4 linked regions of the Macaca mulatta genome follow. The protein of the gene in region 1 purifies or fractionates together with the protein of each later gene. This does not show direct contact. Links are inferred from orthologs where the notes say so. Each region holds a gene or a part of one and is shown in the gene's direction. Other genes may lie near its edges.

What was found.
Region 2: the proteins of GIT1 (region 1) and GRK2 purify together in Homo sapiens (affinity purification with western blotting; 4 studies listed by BioGRID and IntAct, with this or other methods). This does not show direct contact. The link is inferred for Macaca mulatta from reciprocal best matches to the Homo sapiens genes GIT1 and GRK2.
Region 3: the proteins of GIT1 (region 1) and ARHGEF6 purify together in Homo sapiens (affinity purification with mass spectrometry; 3 studies listed by BioGRID and IntAct, counting the BioPlex papers as one, with this or other methods). This does not show direct contact. The link is inferred for Macaca mulatta from reciprocal best matches to the Homo sapiens genes GIT1 and ARHGEF6.
Region 4: the proteins of GIT1 (region 1) and PAK1 purify together in Homo sapiens (affinity purification with mass spectrometry; 6 studies listed by BioGRID and IntAct, with this or other methods). This does not show direct contact. The link is inferred for Macaca mulatta from reciprocal best matches to the Homo sapiens genes GIT1 and PAK1.

The regions. Positions count from the first base shown.
Region 1 is NC_133421.1:38,321,365-38,324,928, reverse strand, and holds part of GIT1 (ARF GTPase-activating protein GIT1), read left to right. Parts: intron 1-72; coding exon 73-185; intron 186-306; coding exon 307-412; intron 413-966; coding exon 967-1,184; intron 1,185-1,274; coding exon 1,275-1,369; intron 1,370-1,714; coding exon 1,715-1,757; intron 1,758-3,564. UniProt on the Homo sapiens protein: GTPase-activating protein for ADP ribosylation factor family members, including ARF1.
Region 2 is NC_133419.1:7,100,163-7,104,345, reverse strand, and holds the end of GRK2 (beta-adrenergic receptor kinase 1), read left to right. Parts: intron 1-187; coding exon 188-288; intron 289-766; coding exon 767-833; intron 834-905; coding exon 906-1,001; intron 1,002-1,261; coding exon 1,262-1,424; intron 1,425-1,901; coding exon 1,902-2,038; intron 2,039-2,129; coding exon 2,130-2,243; coding exon of another isoform or gene 2,244-2,265; intron 2,266-2,319; coding exon of another isoform or gene 2,320-2,340; coding exon 2,341-2,505; 3' UTR 2,506-3,621; downstream 3,622-4,183. UniProt on the Homo sapiens protein: Specifically phosphorylates the agonist-occupied form of the beta-adrenergic and closely related receptors, probably inducing a desensitization of them. Key regulator of LPAR1 signaling.
Region 3 is NC_133426.1:143,013,154-143,016,717, reverse strand, and holds part of ARHGEF6 (rho guanine nucleotide exchange factor 6), read left to right. Parts: intron 1-942; coding exon of another isoform or gene 943-954; coding exon 955-1,080; coding exon of another isoform or gene 1,081-1,098; intron 1,099-2,652; coding exon 2,653-2,673; intron 2,674-3,564. UniProt on the Homo sapiens protein: Acts as a RAC1 guanine nucleotide exchange factor (GEF).
Region 4 is NC_133419.1:77,744,958-77,748,365, reverse strand, and holds part of PAK1 (serine/threonine-protein kinase PAK 1), read left to right. Parts: intron 1-256; coding exon 257-394; intron 395-1,123; coding exon of another isoform or gene 1,124-1,177; exon of another isoform or gene 1,178-1,189; intron 1,190-3,408. UniProt on the Homo sapiens protein: Protein kinase involved in intracellular signaling pathways downstream of integrins and receptor-type kinases that plays an important role in cytoskeleton dynamics, in cell adhesion, migration, proliferation, apoptosis, mitosis, and in vesicle-mediated transport processes.

The DNA.
Region 1 (3,564 bases):
CGCTCAGGAGGTGTTTCCCCCAGTGCCCAGCACGCAGTGGGCACTCTCTCATTTGGCATCTCTTCCCCGCAGATGGTGCACACGCTTGCCAGCAACGGGGCCAACTCCATCTGGGAGCACTCCCTGCTGGACCCCGCACAAGTGCAGAGCGGCCGGCGTAAAGCCAACCCCCAAGACAAAGTCCAGTGAGTGGGGCTGGAGGGGTGGTGGGCAGAGACTGCACAGTCTGGGACAGGGCCCTGGGAGGTGGCAAAGTGACCACCCTCTCCCACCATGCCCCCCATTCCTCCTGTGTGCCCCATGCAGCCCCATCAAGTCAGAGTTCATCAGGGCCAAGTACCAGATGCTGGCGTTTGTGCACAAGCTTCCCTGCCGGGACGATGATGGGGTCACCGCCAAAGACCTCAGCAAGGTTTGAGGGGCCCTACAACAGATGGGTGGCCCCCTCTTCTTCCCACCCTTGACTCTCTGAAGGCCTCTCCTTTGTCCCCACTGAGGCCTGGGCCCCAAAGGCCGCAAGGTCAGGTGGTAACAGTAGGCAGGATGGAAAGAGCAGATTGCTAGGTCAAGCCATGTGCGGCTGAGGCTCCTCAGCAACCAAGTGGACACAGAAGGCTAGAAGCCCACAACTGCCACTCAGAAGCTGGGAAAACCTGGGGGTAGTTGCTTAGCCTCTCACAGCCTCAGTTTCATCATCTGTAAAATGGGAAAGAAATAACAGCATCTACTTCATGAAGACATTATCTTAAGCAGGGCACACAGCACACGTGGTAGATGGTGACTGACAGCAGCGTTTATTGATTGGCATTAACCCCTAGTGGGGAGCCTCTGTCCTCCTGACATAGCCTGGTTTGGGCAGGCCTCCTTGGAGCTGCTAGGCGTCCCAGGGGCAGCCAGGGTGCAGCTTGCAGGTGGAGAGGTGCGCCTCACGCAATGTGTATTCATTGCACGCTCTGCTCCTCGTAGCAACTGCACTCAAGCGTGCGGACAGGCAACCTGGAGACATGTCTGCGCCTGCTATCCCTGGGTGCCCAGGCCAACTTCTTCCACCCAGAGAAGGGCACAACACCTCTGCACGTGGCTGCCAAGGCAGGGCAGATACTGCAGGCCGAGCTGCTTGTAGTGTATGGGGCTGACCCTGGCTCCCCTGATGTTAATGGCCGCACACCCATTGACTATGCCAGGTGAGGGTCAGCTGAAGGGTGCAGCGTGGGTGGGTGGGGGTGTGGGTGAGGGCTGCTGCTGCAGGGCTGAGCCATACCCCCTCCCCACAGGCAGGCGGGGCACCATGAGCTGGCGGAAAGGCTGGTTGAATGCCAATATGAGCTCACTGACCGGCTGGCCTTCTACCTCTGTGGACGCAAGCCGGGTGAGCAGAGCTTGGAGCGGGCTTCGCTGGGCTGGGCAGGTGGGACCTGGACACACCCAGCAGCAGGTGCCATGGTGACAGAGCGACTGGGGAGCAGTGTTGCTAGGCAACTGGCTCCTGTGAAATTGCTGCAGGCTCTGGGCCACAGCATCGTTGGGGCTAGGGAGTGGGGGTGGGCATCCTGCATCCTCCCCTGAGCTCCCAGCACTCTTGGGGGTGGCCTGCCCTCCCCCCTTTCCCCTGACACTTCTGGGTGCCAGCCCTGCTCATAGCAGTGAGGTGGGCTCCCAGCTGCTGATGCCACCCAGCTCTAGTGAGTGACTTGGCATTTTTATTTTTGTTCAGATCACAAGAATGGGCATTACATCATCCCACAGATGGCTGACAGGTGAGTGCCCACCTGATGCCCCTTTCCAGAGGCTGTTGGATGCCATGTGGGCAGCTGACCCCCAGAGCTCCCAGCCCAGGCTTCAGGGGCCTAGGACCCTGCTCCCCACCCCCCAGAGACTAGAGGCACAGCTTAGTCCTCAGTCCCTAATGCTGGGCCCCAAGGCAGGTAAAAAAATGTTAGCTCCGTATGTGGCCAGCATAGCCTGAGCCCTGTGACTGTCAAGTACATGGAGGGCTTGGGTGTAAGAAGCTACCTGTGGGCCGGGCGCGGTGGCTCACGCCTGTAATCCCAGCACTTTGGGAGGCCGAGGCGGGCGGATCACCTGAGGTCGGGAGTTCTAGACCAACCTGGCCAACATGGAGAAACCCTGTCTCTACTAAAAAGATAAAATTAGCCAGGTGTGGTGGCGCATGCCTGTAATCCCAGCTACTCGGGAGGCTGAGGCAGGAGAATCCCTCGAACCCAGGAGGCGGAGGTTGCGGTGAGCTGAGATCACGCCATTGCACTCCAGCCTGGGCAACAAGAGCAAAACTCCGTCTCAAAAAAAAAAAAAGCTACCTTCGGCTGGGAGGGTGGGCCACTGGGTTCTGTCTCAGTGGCACTGACCCCACTGTCTTTAGAGAAGCCTCTGCTCCTCACTGAAAAGATGGGTGGGCTTCAGGGATGTGACTAACTTTGAGACTGCACGCTAGGCCTCGAGCATGCTCAGAAATTAGGCAGGTGCCCTGAGGCTGGTTGAATGAGGTGTTTCTGCCTCCGTCTGAGAGGCCCCAAGTGCCCAGGCAGTGTGGGACACCCTCTGCCACTCACCCAGCACATAAGATGGATGCTAGTGCCACCTGGTGGCCACCTCTGATGGCCACGTCCTCATGCCAGGCTGTGCCTTCTGGCCGCCAGGCTGTGCCTTCTGGCCTGGATCTGGAGAGAGGAGGTGCTCTCCTCCCCAAGGGCCTGTGTGGGCAGATGGACATAGCCAAGCCTGGGCAACTCAGATCCTAAACCCAGACCTCCTCGAGACCCCAAGGCTCCTACTTCAGTGGTCTGATTCTACCTGGGCTGTGAGTGTGTGTGTGCGTGTTTACATGCATGTGTGTGTATGGTAAATATACCCACATATGGGCTCCATTCAACAGCACATTAACTGAGCACCTTCCTGGAGCCAGCTACTGCTCTTGGCACTGGGAGCACAGAGGCACCTGAGACACAATCCCTACCCTTGAGGAGCTCACAGTCTAGCTGGGGAGGCAGCCTAGGCAGGTGATTCTAGTCCCCTTGGGGGAGCGCAGCAAGAGAGGCAGAGGCATGGAAGGTAGAAGTGCTGCATGGGAATGGAGGCAGCCCCTGGGGCTGGAGCACAGCATGGGAGGCAGGGAACCCTACGAGCAAGACTGGAATAGAGACAAGCAGGAGAATGAGCAGCCCCGAGAGCATCAGCAGGAGCAGTGACCATCCCAAGAGCAGAGAGTTCCAGGCATAGAAGTGTGAAGTCAGTTCTGCTGCTTACTGGCTGTGTGACTTGCAGGCTGCTTGACCTCTCTGAGCCTTGGTTACCTCTCCTGGAAATGGAGATGACAGTATCTGTTTTTCAGGGAGGAGAGGATTAGATAATGTACGCAAAATGTTTAGCTTTTGGTTTTTTTTTTAAGAGTTGGGGTCTTGCTCTGTTGCCCAGGTTGGAGTGCAGTGGCTCGATCATAGCTTACTGCAGCCTTTAACGATCCTCCTACCATAGCCTCTTGAGTAGCTGGGACTACAGGCACATGCCACTATGCTCAGCTAATTTTTAAATTGCTTTTGTATCTGT
Region 2 (4,183 bases), on another chromosome or scaffold:
TCTGGCCTCCGAGGCAGACCTCCTGCCCCTAGGCTCTTGTCCTCCCCTTGCTGTTGGAGCACCTGACAGATGGAAGCTGCGCCCCATCTGTCCCTCTGCCGGGGGCTTGGACCCCTCTCTCCCCTGAGCTGGGATGGGGTCGAGGGCTCTTCCTAAGCCCCTGCTAATGTCCCACTCCTCTCTAAAGGCTGTGGAGCTGCCCGACTCCTTCTCCCCTGAACTCCGCTCCCTGCTAGAGGGGCTGCTGCAGAGAGACGTCAACCGGAGACTGGGCTGCCTGGGCCGAGGGTGAGTGCCCTGGCGCCTTGGGCATGCTGCCGGCTGTGCCCCCATGAGGACAAGGGCTGTGTCCCGTCACCTGGAACCCCCTCCAAGGTCGCAGCCTCCTTGGAGGAGCTCACAAGTTGGGGCATGGCCAGCCCTGTCCAATGTTCTCAGGGTGGAGGGGCTGCCCTGGGGGTTGGAGCTGCTGGAACCAGCTGGTAACTGGCTTCCAGAGGGGCCCTTGTCACAGACAATGATAATAGCAGCTTTTTATGTTTATTGAACATTTATTAAGCACTGGGCATAGGGTTGCAAAATTTACCAATGTTAAAACCCACAACCCTATGATGTAGGAACTTCTGTTCTCCCATTTGAGAGATGAGGAAACAGCTCAAGCTTAAGGAACTTGCCCAAGTTCACAGAGCCAGAAAGTGGCTCAACCAGGAGTTAAGCCCAGGGCTCAGGGTGGGGCTGAGCCCAGATGACTGGCCTCTCCCCGCAGGGCTCAGGAGGTGAAAGAGAGCCCCTTTTTCCGCTCCCTGGACTGGCAGATGGTCTTCTTGCAGAAGGTAACAGTCTGCGGCAGGGACTGGGGGTGCTCTGCAGTCCCACCCCCGAGCTAATGCCCTGTTCTGCTGCAGTACCCTCCCCCGCTGATCCCCCCACGAGGGGAGGTGAACGCGGCTGACGCCTTCGACATTGGCTCCTTTGATGAGGAGGACACAAAAGGAATCAAGGTACTGGGCCTTGCCTGGCCTCTTGTACCTGGGCTCTGATCCTGGCCTGGGGGAGGATCCCTGTCCCTTCTTATCACCCGTGAGACCCTGTGCCAGCCCTGCCAGCTTGTAGGCCTCAGCTCCTCCTCAGCCAACTTCCCTGGGGGTGGCAGTTGCACTGACCATCCCTACCCAGGGCCCTGGGTCTGGGCAGCCTGTGGCTGATGGTATTCCGGCATCTCTGTCCATTCATGTGCCCCTGCCCCATCCACCTGGTAAAGTTACTGGACAGTGATCAGGAGCTCTACCGCAACTTCCCCCTCACCATCTCGGAGCGGTGGCAGCAGGAGGTGGCCGAGACTGTCTTCGACACCATCAACGCTGAGACAGACCGGCTGGAGGCTCGCAAGAAAGCCAAGAACAAGCAGCTGGGCCATGAGGAAGGTGAGGGTCGCCGGCTGCTGCGGCACCAGGCCCCTGCCTGCTTAGAAGGGAGCAGCTGGCTCGGGTTTAAGGAACTCGCCCTGGATCACAGCCAGAAAGTGGCGGCTCTGGGATTGAAACTCAGGCTGGGGCCGGGCGTGGTGGCTCACGCCTGTAATCCCAGCACTTTGGGAGGCCAAGGAGCGCAGATCACTTGAGGTCAGGAGTTTGAGACCAGCTTGGCCAACATGGTGAAACCCTGTCTCTACCAAAAAATACCAAAAAAAATTAGCCGGGCATGGTGGCACGCGCCTGTACTCCCAGCTACCCGGGAGGCTGAGGCGGGAGGATCGCTTGAACCTGGGAGGTGGAGGTTGCAGTGAGCCAAGATTTTGCCACAGCCCTCCAGCCTGGGCAACAGAGTGGAGACCCTGTCTGAAAACAACAAAAAAGAAACCCAGGTGGGGCCGGCTGAGTCTCCTCTGTCTCTCACCTCAGACTACGCCCTGGGCAAGGACTGCATCATGCACGGCTACATGTCCAAGATGGGCAACCCCTTCCTGACCCAGTGGCAGCGGCGGTACTTCTACCTGTTCCCCAACCGCCTGGAGTGGCGGGGCGAGGGCGAGGCCCCGGTAAGGAGCCCGTGCGGGGGTCTGGGAGCTGGGCTTCCAGGTGGCCGGCCGGCCCGGCTCTTACCCGCACCACCCATCCCTGGCCCTGCAGCAGAGCCTGCTGACCATGGAGGAGATCCAGTCCGTGGAGGAGACGCAGATCAAGGAGCGCAAGTGCCTGCTCCTCAAGATCCGCGGTGGGAAACAGTTCGTTTTGCAGTGCGACGTGAGTGGGGGCTGGGCTGGGGGTGGGAGGGCCAAGGGGCCAGGTCAGGCAGGCTGGGGAGAGCCCCAGCTAACAGAGCTGGGCTTGGCATGTGTAGAGCGACCCTGAACTGGTGCAGTGGAAGAAGGAGCTGCGTGACGCCTACCGCGAGGCCCAGCAGCTGGTGCAGCGGGTGCCCAAGATGAAGAACAAGCCGCGCTCGCCCGTGGTGGAGCTGAGCAAGGTGCCGCTGGTCCAGCGCGGCAGTGCCAACGGCCTCTGACCCGCCCGCCTGCCTTTTATAAACCTCTAATTTATTTTGTCGAATTTTTATTATTTGTTTTCCCGCCAAGCGGAAAAGGTTTTATTTTGTAATTATTGTGATTTCCTGTGGCCCCAGCCTGGCCCACCTTCCCCGGGAGGGGCCTGCTTGCCTCAGCTCCTGCTGCACCAACCCAGCCGCTGCCCGGCACCCACCGTCCTGACCCCAGGGGCTGCCCACTCCCAGTGTCTTCCTGTGGGGGAAGAGCACAGCCCTCTCGCCCCTTCCCTGAGGGATGATGCCACACCAAGCTGTGCCACCCTGGGCTCTGTGGGCTGCACTCTGTGCCCACGGGCACTGCTGAGTGGCCCAGCCTCCCTCACTGGGGTGGGCGCAGCACAGGGATCCGACTGAATTTTCCCACTGCACCCCTCCTGCTGCAGAGGGGCAGGCCCTGCACTGTCCTGCCCCACAGCGTTGGTGAGAGGAGGGGCCTGTTGTCTCCCTGGTCCCCAAGGCCTCCCACAGTGACTCGGGCTCCTGTGCCCTTATTCAGGAAAAGCCTCGGTGTCACTGGCTGCCTCCACTCCCACTTCCCTGACACTGCAGGGCTCGGCTGAGAGGGTGGCATTGGCGGCAGGTGCTGCTACCCTCCCTTCTGTCCCCTCTTGCCCCAACCCCCAGCACCTGGGCTCAGGGACCACAGCAAGGCTACTGTGGGTTGGGCCATACTGGCCTCGCCTGGCCTGAGGTCTCCCCGATGCTGGGGCGGGTGCGACCCCTTCTGCCCAGGACGGGGCCGGCCAGGTGGGCGGGCAGCACATCAAGGAGGCTGGCTGGGGACTGTCAGTGTGCCCCCCACCCCGGCCCATCAGTGTACCCTTGCCCAGGCTGGCCAACCCCACAGCCCACGTCCTGTCAGTGCCGCCACCTTGGGGCGCCGCCTCGCCCACCGCATGCCCCCTCGTGCCAGTCACGCTGCCTGTGTGGTGTCGCGCCTTCTCCCCCCCGGGGCTGGGTTGGCGCACCCTCCCCTCCCGTCTACTCATTCCCCGGGGCGTTTCTTTGCCGATTTTTGAATGTGATTTTAAAGAGTGAAAAATGAGACTATGCGTTTTTATAAAAAATGGTGCCTGATTCGGCTGTCTCAGACTCTTTGTACCTGGTGACTGCTTTTCAGCCTCTGCTGGGCTGGGGCCTGAGCGGGAGGGTCTCGGTGGTACCAGGTCTCCACCACCACCACGGCTTCCAAGGTGGCCTGCTGGGGCCCAGGCCATCTTCCAGGTGGGGTGAGGCAGTGAGTCCCACTCCCCGTCCTGCCCTTCCCAGCTGGCAGTCCTCCCGCCTAGTGGCTGTCCAGTGCCCATTCCTCACCTTTTCTCAGGGAGGAGAGAGCAGCTTCTGCCACTTACCAGGTAAGTAGGAGGAGGTGCCAGCAGTGTTACATCTGGTGCAGTGTCTGGGCTGACTGCGACCTTCTCAGGCCCACAGAACACCCCTGCACAGCAGGCTCCAAGCTGACGCCCCTCCCCAGAAACAGTCACAAGGCATGTCTGCTCTCTAGATCGCGCCGCAGGCCCTTGGCCATCTCTGGCTTCAGCCTCCTCTCTGTTCTCACTGCACAGCCCTAGTAGGGGTCCCTGAGGCCTGAGGGGAACCCCAGCACTAGGCCTCTCCTGTACCCAGAGGCTTCTGGTCA
Region 3 (3,564 bases), on another chromosome or scaffold:
AGATTTTGAAGTACAGTTAAACCTCACTCATTCTGATTTCTCATTATGAGGCCCATCCAAATTAATGAAAAGGTTTACTTAGAGGTGTGCAGTTCTGTTTGACAGTATTCAGGTACCCCAACTAACTGCCAGCAAAGTATTTCTAACCAGAAGTCCTGCTAAAATATTTTAATGATAAGCAAGGCTTATTTCAATCAGCAATGGTTACTCTCCTACTAACAATGGGCTAAGTAGAAACAAATAGTTTACCTCCCTAAGTACTTAAACATCTCCATGTCATCTCACTCATGCTCTCACATTTGCTCAGTAACCTTCTTCAAAGGTAAACTTTCAGCATTGTCTCTTTCTGAGTTATCACAAATTTACACTTTGGAATTTGAATTGATGAGATTTTACTGTACTTGCTGAGTGAGATGGAAGATATACTGTGTTGTTTGTTAACATACAAACCTATGATGCCAAAATTCCAGTTTTGAGCACTGTGTGTTGTGGTCGGAAGAATATGGGCTTTGGCTTCAGATCTGGGTTCAAATCTTGGCTTTGCCAATTACTAGTTAGTTACTTCACTTGACTGAGTCTATGTTTTAGGCTGTTCTCATGAAATAATCTATTTAAGCACCTACCAGAGTGCCAAACATATCACTGAACTCAAATGTTGACTGCTACTCCATTTTCTTTCCTTACAGAGGAAAGAAAATTAAATTAATTAAATTCCAGATGAGAAAGAGAGGACAGGATCATGGAATGTTGAGTCAATTTTGTGCTGTTTCTTAGAGACCCCGTAATCTTGACTGGAAAGAGCCAGTTCTCAAACTGGAGACTTTTGTTCTTCCGTCTATCCCTTTCTATGGCTGTCTTTGCTGATCCAATGAAGCTATTGTTGTTCTCTCACTGTGTGGCACAAGGTCGGGTTCAGATGGCAGATTGCCAACATCTCATCAGACATTTTCCCAGTCTTTTAGCTCTACTGGACAGCCCCGAGGACCCTTGGAGCCTCCTCAAATTATAAAACCGTGGAGTTTAAGTTGTCTACGACCTGCACCTCCACTTAGACCATCAGCAGCACTAGGTTATAAAGAGGTAATTTTGCTACCTATGGTATAAAATGCTTCTGACAAGTTAATTTCATAGCTTGTTACAAATAGTTCTGTGGGAATGTGCTAGAATTTAAGATAGGTGGTATATGTGAGTCAGTCTTGAATTGCTAGACTCAGTGATTTGTTTGGTTTCTTAATTTTCCGTTTCCCATTATCCATCTGCAAATATGTACTGAATATCTATAGGATCTATGTGCACTGCCTGAGTGTTCCCAGTCTCCTCCTGAAGTGCCTCTGGTTTACCTTAATGATTATTATGATAATTCTTTAGATTCATTAATAATGTACACAAATCTCAAGAGCTACTTCATTGTAGTTGAGTTGCCAATGAAGCAGACCTAATTCAGCATTTGGGATCATTTTGATCAATTTGAACCAAATTAGTAAAGTGTTATGGGACCAAGCTATGAGTCCAAACTATAAAAGTGATATTTGCTTCAATTGGAATGAGAAAAGAATTTGATGAAAGGAGTGTCTTTTAAAAAGAGGCTTCTCAGAGACAACCTTAAAGGCCATTTGATATTTGGGTAGTGTGGGGATTTAAAGGTTTTGTGTATTTTTTTTTTCTCTAGAAGTTGCAGTCAGGAAGTGTCACTCACTAGCTTCTGTAACTGTGTGGAGTATTACTTTTCCATCCAAACAGTGGCTTTATCCCTAACCTGTCTCAAATCATTTCAGATTTCAGAAAAGATACTCATTTATTAGTAACTGTTCTTTAAATCAGTCTCATTGGGTGAAGATTAAGTTTGTGACAGTTATGAGATGAGTCTTAGAATTATGGGGCAAAGGCAGCATATATTTCTAGATCAAATGTGTGTTTTGATGAGTGATGCAGACTCAGCTCAATTTTGAGTGTTTTGATTTAAACCACCATGCTTTTGTTTCGATTAATTGTTGCTACCAACTCTAAGTGCAGTAAAAATAAGACAATATTTGGACACTGGAGGATGTTTTGATCCTTTCAACTTGACATGATAGGACAAACAACCCTTGAACTGAATCTTTGTTATATAACTGTATTTAGAATTTGGTCAGGAAGCAGTCCCACAGATTTACTTTGGAAATTTACCTGCAATTCTTGCAGTCATCCAATTTTCTTCTTTGATTATGTAAACCAGGAGTGCCACTTCATAGTTACCTCGGTCTCCTTTTTAATGACAGATATTTTGTAATTATCAGTTACTAAGTTCAAATTAAGGTGAGCTTTGAAGAGTAAAGTTGACTTAATCCTTCACATAACTAATCTATTAAAACTAAGGCATGATCACTTCGTTTCTGCTGGGGGAAAAGAGTTATTAATATATTCCTACTAGATAGTATGTATTTCAGTTGTTTTCAGCATTTGTTATTCTGCACAGAACTGTATTCCTCAGGCTTTTGCATGATAATATTGCATCTGAAACTAATGTGGGAAATGTGATTATATTCCCTCTGTGTAATTTATGATAACACTAACATTTCAAATGTTGTTTTAGAATTATTGATAAGTGGATTTGGTCATTATAACCATCGACCTCTCACGCTCATCTTCTCTTTCTTTACATATTCATTTTAGAGGATGTCTTATATCTTAAAGGTAAGGGTAGAACAATATCTTTGGCTTACAGTGACATCATAATGCTGTGCTGTAACCTTTGATGAATGAAGCTTTCCCTTATGCTTGTTTTGTCCCTTGTTGTAATTGGTGGCTAAAATATGAAGATGCAATTCTGACATGTAAGTACTTTGTTGAAAAAGCAGGCTTGTGTGAAATACATATAAAAATGTCATAATGCCCTAAAATGCCCCATTTTCCTGCCTTTTTTTAAAGTGCTGCTTTTTCCTGTTATTTTTGTCATGTGAGAGTTTTTCATATCTGTCTTTTTTCAAGTATAAGTACTGTGGCTGAGTGAAATGAATTAAATGATTTGTTTCCTGTATTTTTAAGCTACTATTAATAATTAATATCCATGCTCCATGTATACACATTTCTTGGAAAGTTGGGATAAGGTGATCATGAGAGATTTTTCCTAAGTCTAAGTTGCTAATCTGTTTACAGATTATTGGATTAAGGATTAAGGATATTGTCAATGAGTATTTTTTTGACCTGCTGGTTACTCATATGGCAAAAACAAATTCAATACATTTATTTTGTCTACTAGTTAAATACATGGCTTTATATATGAAAAATTAAGTTTGGCTGTGGGTGTGTTACTTCTAACCCAAAATTATTTATTAGGAAATCCTTCATTTGATTCTTCTCTCTGCAGAAAAATGACTTAGTCTCTCTGCCTTAGTTTTCCTGTCTCACAAATGGAAATTATATTCTTCTTTGTGGGACTGTTTCTAAGGCAGAATTATTTAAATAGCTCTGAAGCTCTTTGAAAAGTGATCAATACTACATTAGTGGTTACAGTGGCTTAGTTCCCCTAAAACTGTATCAGTGGGGAATGTAAGCCAAATTAGGAATACTGTTACGTTTTTAGGG
Region 4 (3,408 bases), on another chromosome or scaffold:
ACTATCTTATTTTTACAGATATGTGAGATGGGCATTATCATCATCCTTACTTTACAGATAGGGAAGTTGCACATAGTCTCATGGCCTTTAAATGTTCAGCCTGATCCTTAGGTCATACTCTTTCCAGTATATATACACAGCTGCTACTTTGCATCCTAGAGCATAAAGCAGCTGACCATATTTCTAGAATGTGTATATGGAGAACAAGAGAGAGCCTCAGTTGGAGTTCAAGGTGATTCACCATTTTTATTGCCAGGCCTTGTACCTCATTGCCACCAATGGGACCCCAGAACTTCAGAACCCAGAGAAGCTGTCAGCTATCTTCCGGGACTTTCTGAACCGCTGTCTTGAGATGGATGTGGAGAAGAGAGGTTCAGCTAAAGAGCTGCTGCAGGTAACTGTCCCTGTGCAGGGAAGCACCTAATTCAGGGAATCACTAAACCAGGCCTTTTTTACTTCATGTTTGTCTGTAAGGTACTGGATATTATAGAACTAGGCTTCTCTTTTACCATTTCCTACCCTCACTCTGTTCCTACTGCTCTAACTTTTATCCCTGGGGCTTTGCTTATTTATTTTCTTAGCCTCTTTCTTGGCCTGTTAAAACTCTACACATTCTCCTAGGCTCAGTTTACAATCATTTTCTGAGCACCTATTGAGCTTTGCTTGTAGCTTGCTTCCTTCCTTCCTTCCTTCCTTCCTTCCTTCCTTCCTTCCTTCCTTCCTTCCTTCCTTCCTCCCTCCCTCCCTCGCTCCCTCCCTCCCTCCCTCCCATCCTCCCTTCCTCCCTCCCTCCCTTCCTCCCTTCCTCCCTTCCTCCCTCCTTCCTTTTCCTTTCCTTTCTTTCCTTTCTTTCTTTTCTTCTTCCTTTCCCTTTCTTTTCTTTCCTTTTCCTTCCTTTCCCTTTCCTTCCTTCCTTCCTTTCCTTTCCTTTCCTTTCCTTTCCTTTCCTTTCCTTTCCTTTCCTTTCCTTTCCTTTCCTTTCCTTTCCTTTCCTTTCCTCTCCCTCTCCCTCCCCCTCCCCCTCCCCTTTCCCTTCCCCCCTCCCTTACTCTCACCTCCCCACAGGGTCTCACTCTGTCACCCGGGCAGGAGTGTACAATGGTGTGATTTTGTCTCACTGCAGTTTTCCTCTCCTGGGTTCACTCAAGTGATCTTCCCACCTCAGCCTCCCAAGTAGCTGGGACTACAGGTACATGCCACCATACCGGGCTAATTTTTTAAAAAGTTTTTTGTAGAGACGCGGTTTTGCTGTGTTAGCTAGGCTGGTCTCAAATTCCTGGGTTCAAGCGATGTGACCACCTCGGTTTCCCAAAGTGCTGGGACTACAGTTATGAGCCACCATGCCCGGCCTGCTTGTATCTTTCATTAGCACATCCTTTGTTCTGTTTGAATTAGTCTGGCAGAGTTTGTTTGAGTCTTGTTGAGAAATGGCTCTCTGACATCCAAATCTTACGCAAGTTATATTTTTGCTGGGATTAGCTCAAAGGATACATTTTTAGCAAAGGAACATACGTTTATTTTATTTTATTTATGTTTTATTTTTTGAGACAGGATCTCTGTCTGTTGCCCAGGCTGGAGTGCAGTGGTGCAGTCATGGCTCACTGCAGCCCCAGCCTCCCCAGGTTCTGCTGATCCTCCCACTTTAGCCTCCAGAGTAGGTGGGACTACAAGCGTGCACCACCATACCTGCCTAATTTTTATATTTTCTGTAAAGACAGGGTTTTGCCATGTTGCTCAGGCTGGGCTCAAACGATCTGCCCGCTATAGCCTCCCAAAGTGTGGAATTACAGGCATGGCATGAGCCACCATGCCCATCCATGGAACATAAGTTTAGAAGATAATTAGTGAGTATGGCTTTTGGAGTCTATACTTTCTTCACTGGAAATCCTCAGATAATGGCAATGATACTCTACTTGTTGAGAGTGAGATTTTGCCAGTTTGTGGAGAAACCCGGAGTCAGGGGTTTACCAGGCCTTTTATACTCCCACCCCCCTAATCCTGATAATTTTACATGGTTGAAAAAATTGCCTTTAGCAGGCCACGTCATTTGTATTTAACATATTTGTTTCCAGTACAATTTCTTATAACAAGTGTTCTTTTATTGTATTGCCCACTAGTGATTTAATAGTAAGTATCATGTGCAACTTTATGAAGGCATGCACTGTCATTTATTTTCGTATTATAAAGCCCAGGAGTGACAGAGCAGGGCAGGGCAGGGCAGGACCTAGCATACTGCCCTGTGTTAATTATGAATCTTTCCTACTGGATTATAACCTCTATTTTATTAATCCCTGAGTTTCTTGTTTTACCTAGAACCTGACTTAGGATAGGTACTCAAAAAATATTTATTGAATTGAATGAAATTGCTGGAAGAACCTACATTGGAATATCATCCTCTGGAACATATTTATCATCTCTTTGTAATTGAGGTTACTGATTATGGAGTACTGGCCTATTAGATATGAGATCTGGGTTCTGCCAAGTGTAACCCATTAGTCTCTAGTATCTGTTGGGACTAAAAGTCTCTTAGTACAATGTAGGACCCCTTTTGCTGTTCATGAGAGTTGTATTCTGCAAACTGTAGGCACTGGGAAATGTGTAAATACGATATGCTAAGCCTATGATTAGTAAAGATACCATTCTTAATTAAGTACCAAACTATAGTTCTTGAAAGGTTAGTGCCCTCTAAAGTTTTCTTCCTGATACAGTAATATAACTAGTAATAAATGCATTATATTGAATCTTTACCATATTTTAGGCACTAAACACTTTATATATTTAGGCACTAATAAGCACTTTATATATTGTCCTTCACAACAACTCTATGAGTTATAGGTTCTGTTATTCTCATTTTTACAGATGAGGAAACTGAGGTTTCAAGTATTTAGTAACTTTTCCATGATAGCTGATATGTGGCAGATCCAGGATTTCAGCCTGTTTGGCTCCGAAGTGTGTATGCTCTTGGCCACTGCTCTTACAGGCTCAAAGAGTATCACAACTGGAAAGCCCTTAGGGCTCATCTAGTCTGTTTTGTTTATTAGACAGAGAAGGAAACTGAGGCCTTCCAGTTCGGTGTTGGATCATGCTGCTCTCAACTTAGGGGAATTGTAGAAACATGTGATCTGAGAAAGCTGGCTTTTTAACTTGTTCGTGTACATTGTAAATATTGAAAACCATGACTTTGAGAATCGTAAATCATAAAAGCTTCACATCTGTTTCTCCTGTGAGAACACACTTATGGACAGAAATACATAGGATGATATATATTGGAATTCCTATCTTCATGATTTAGCTAGGATCTTTTATTCCTTTCATAGTAATAGTACCTTCTTGTTCTCAGTAGCTCTTTATACTATCTCTGTCCCAACAGAAGTTGAAAAAATTCTCAGCAAAGAATATTGTATATAT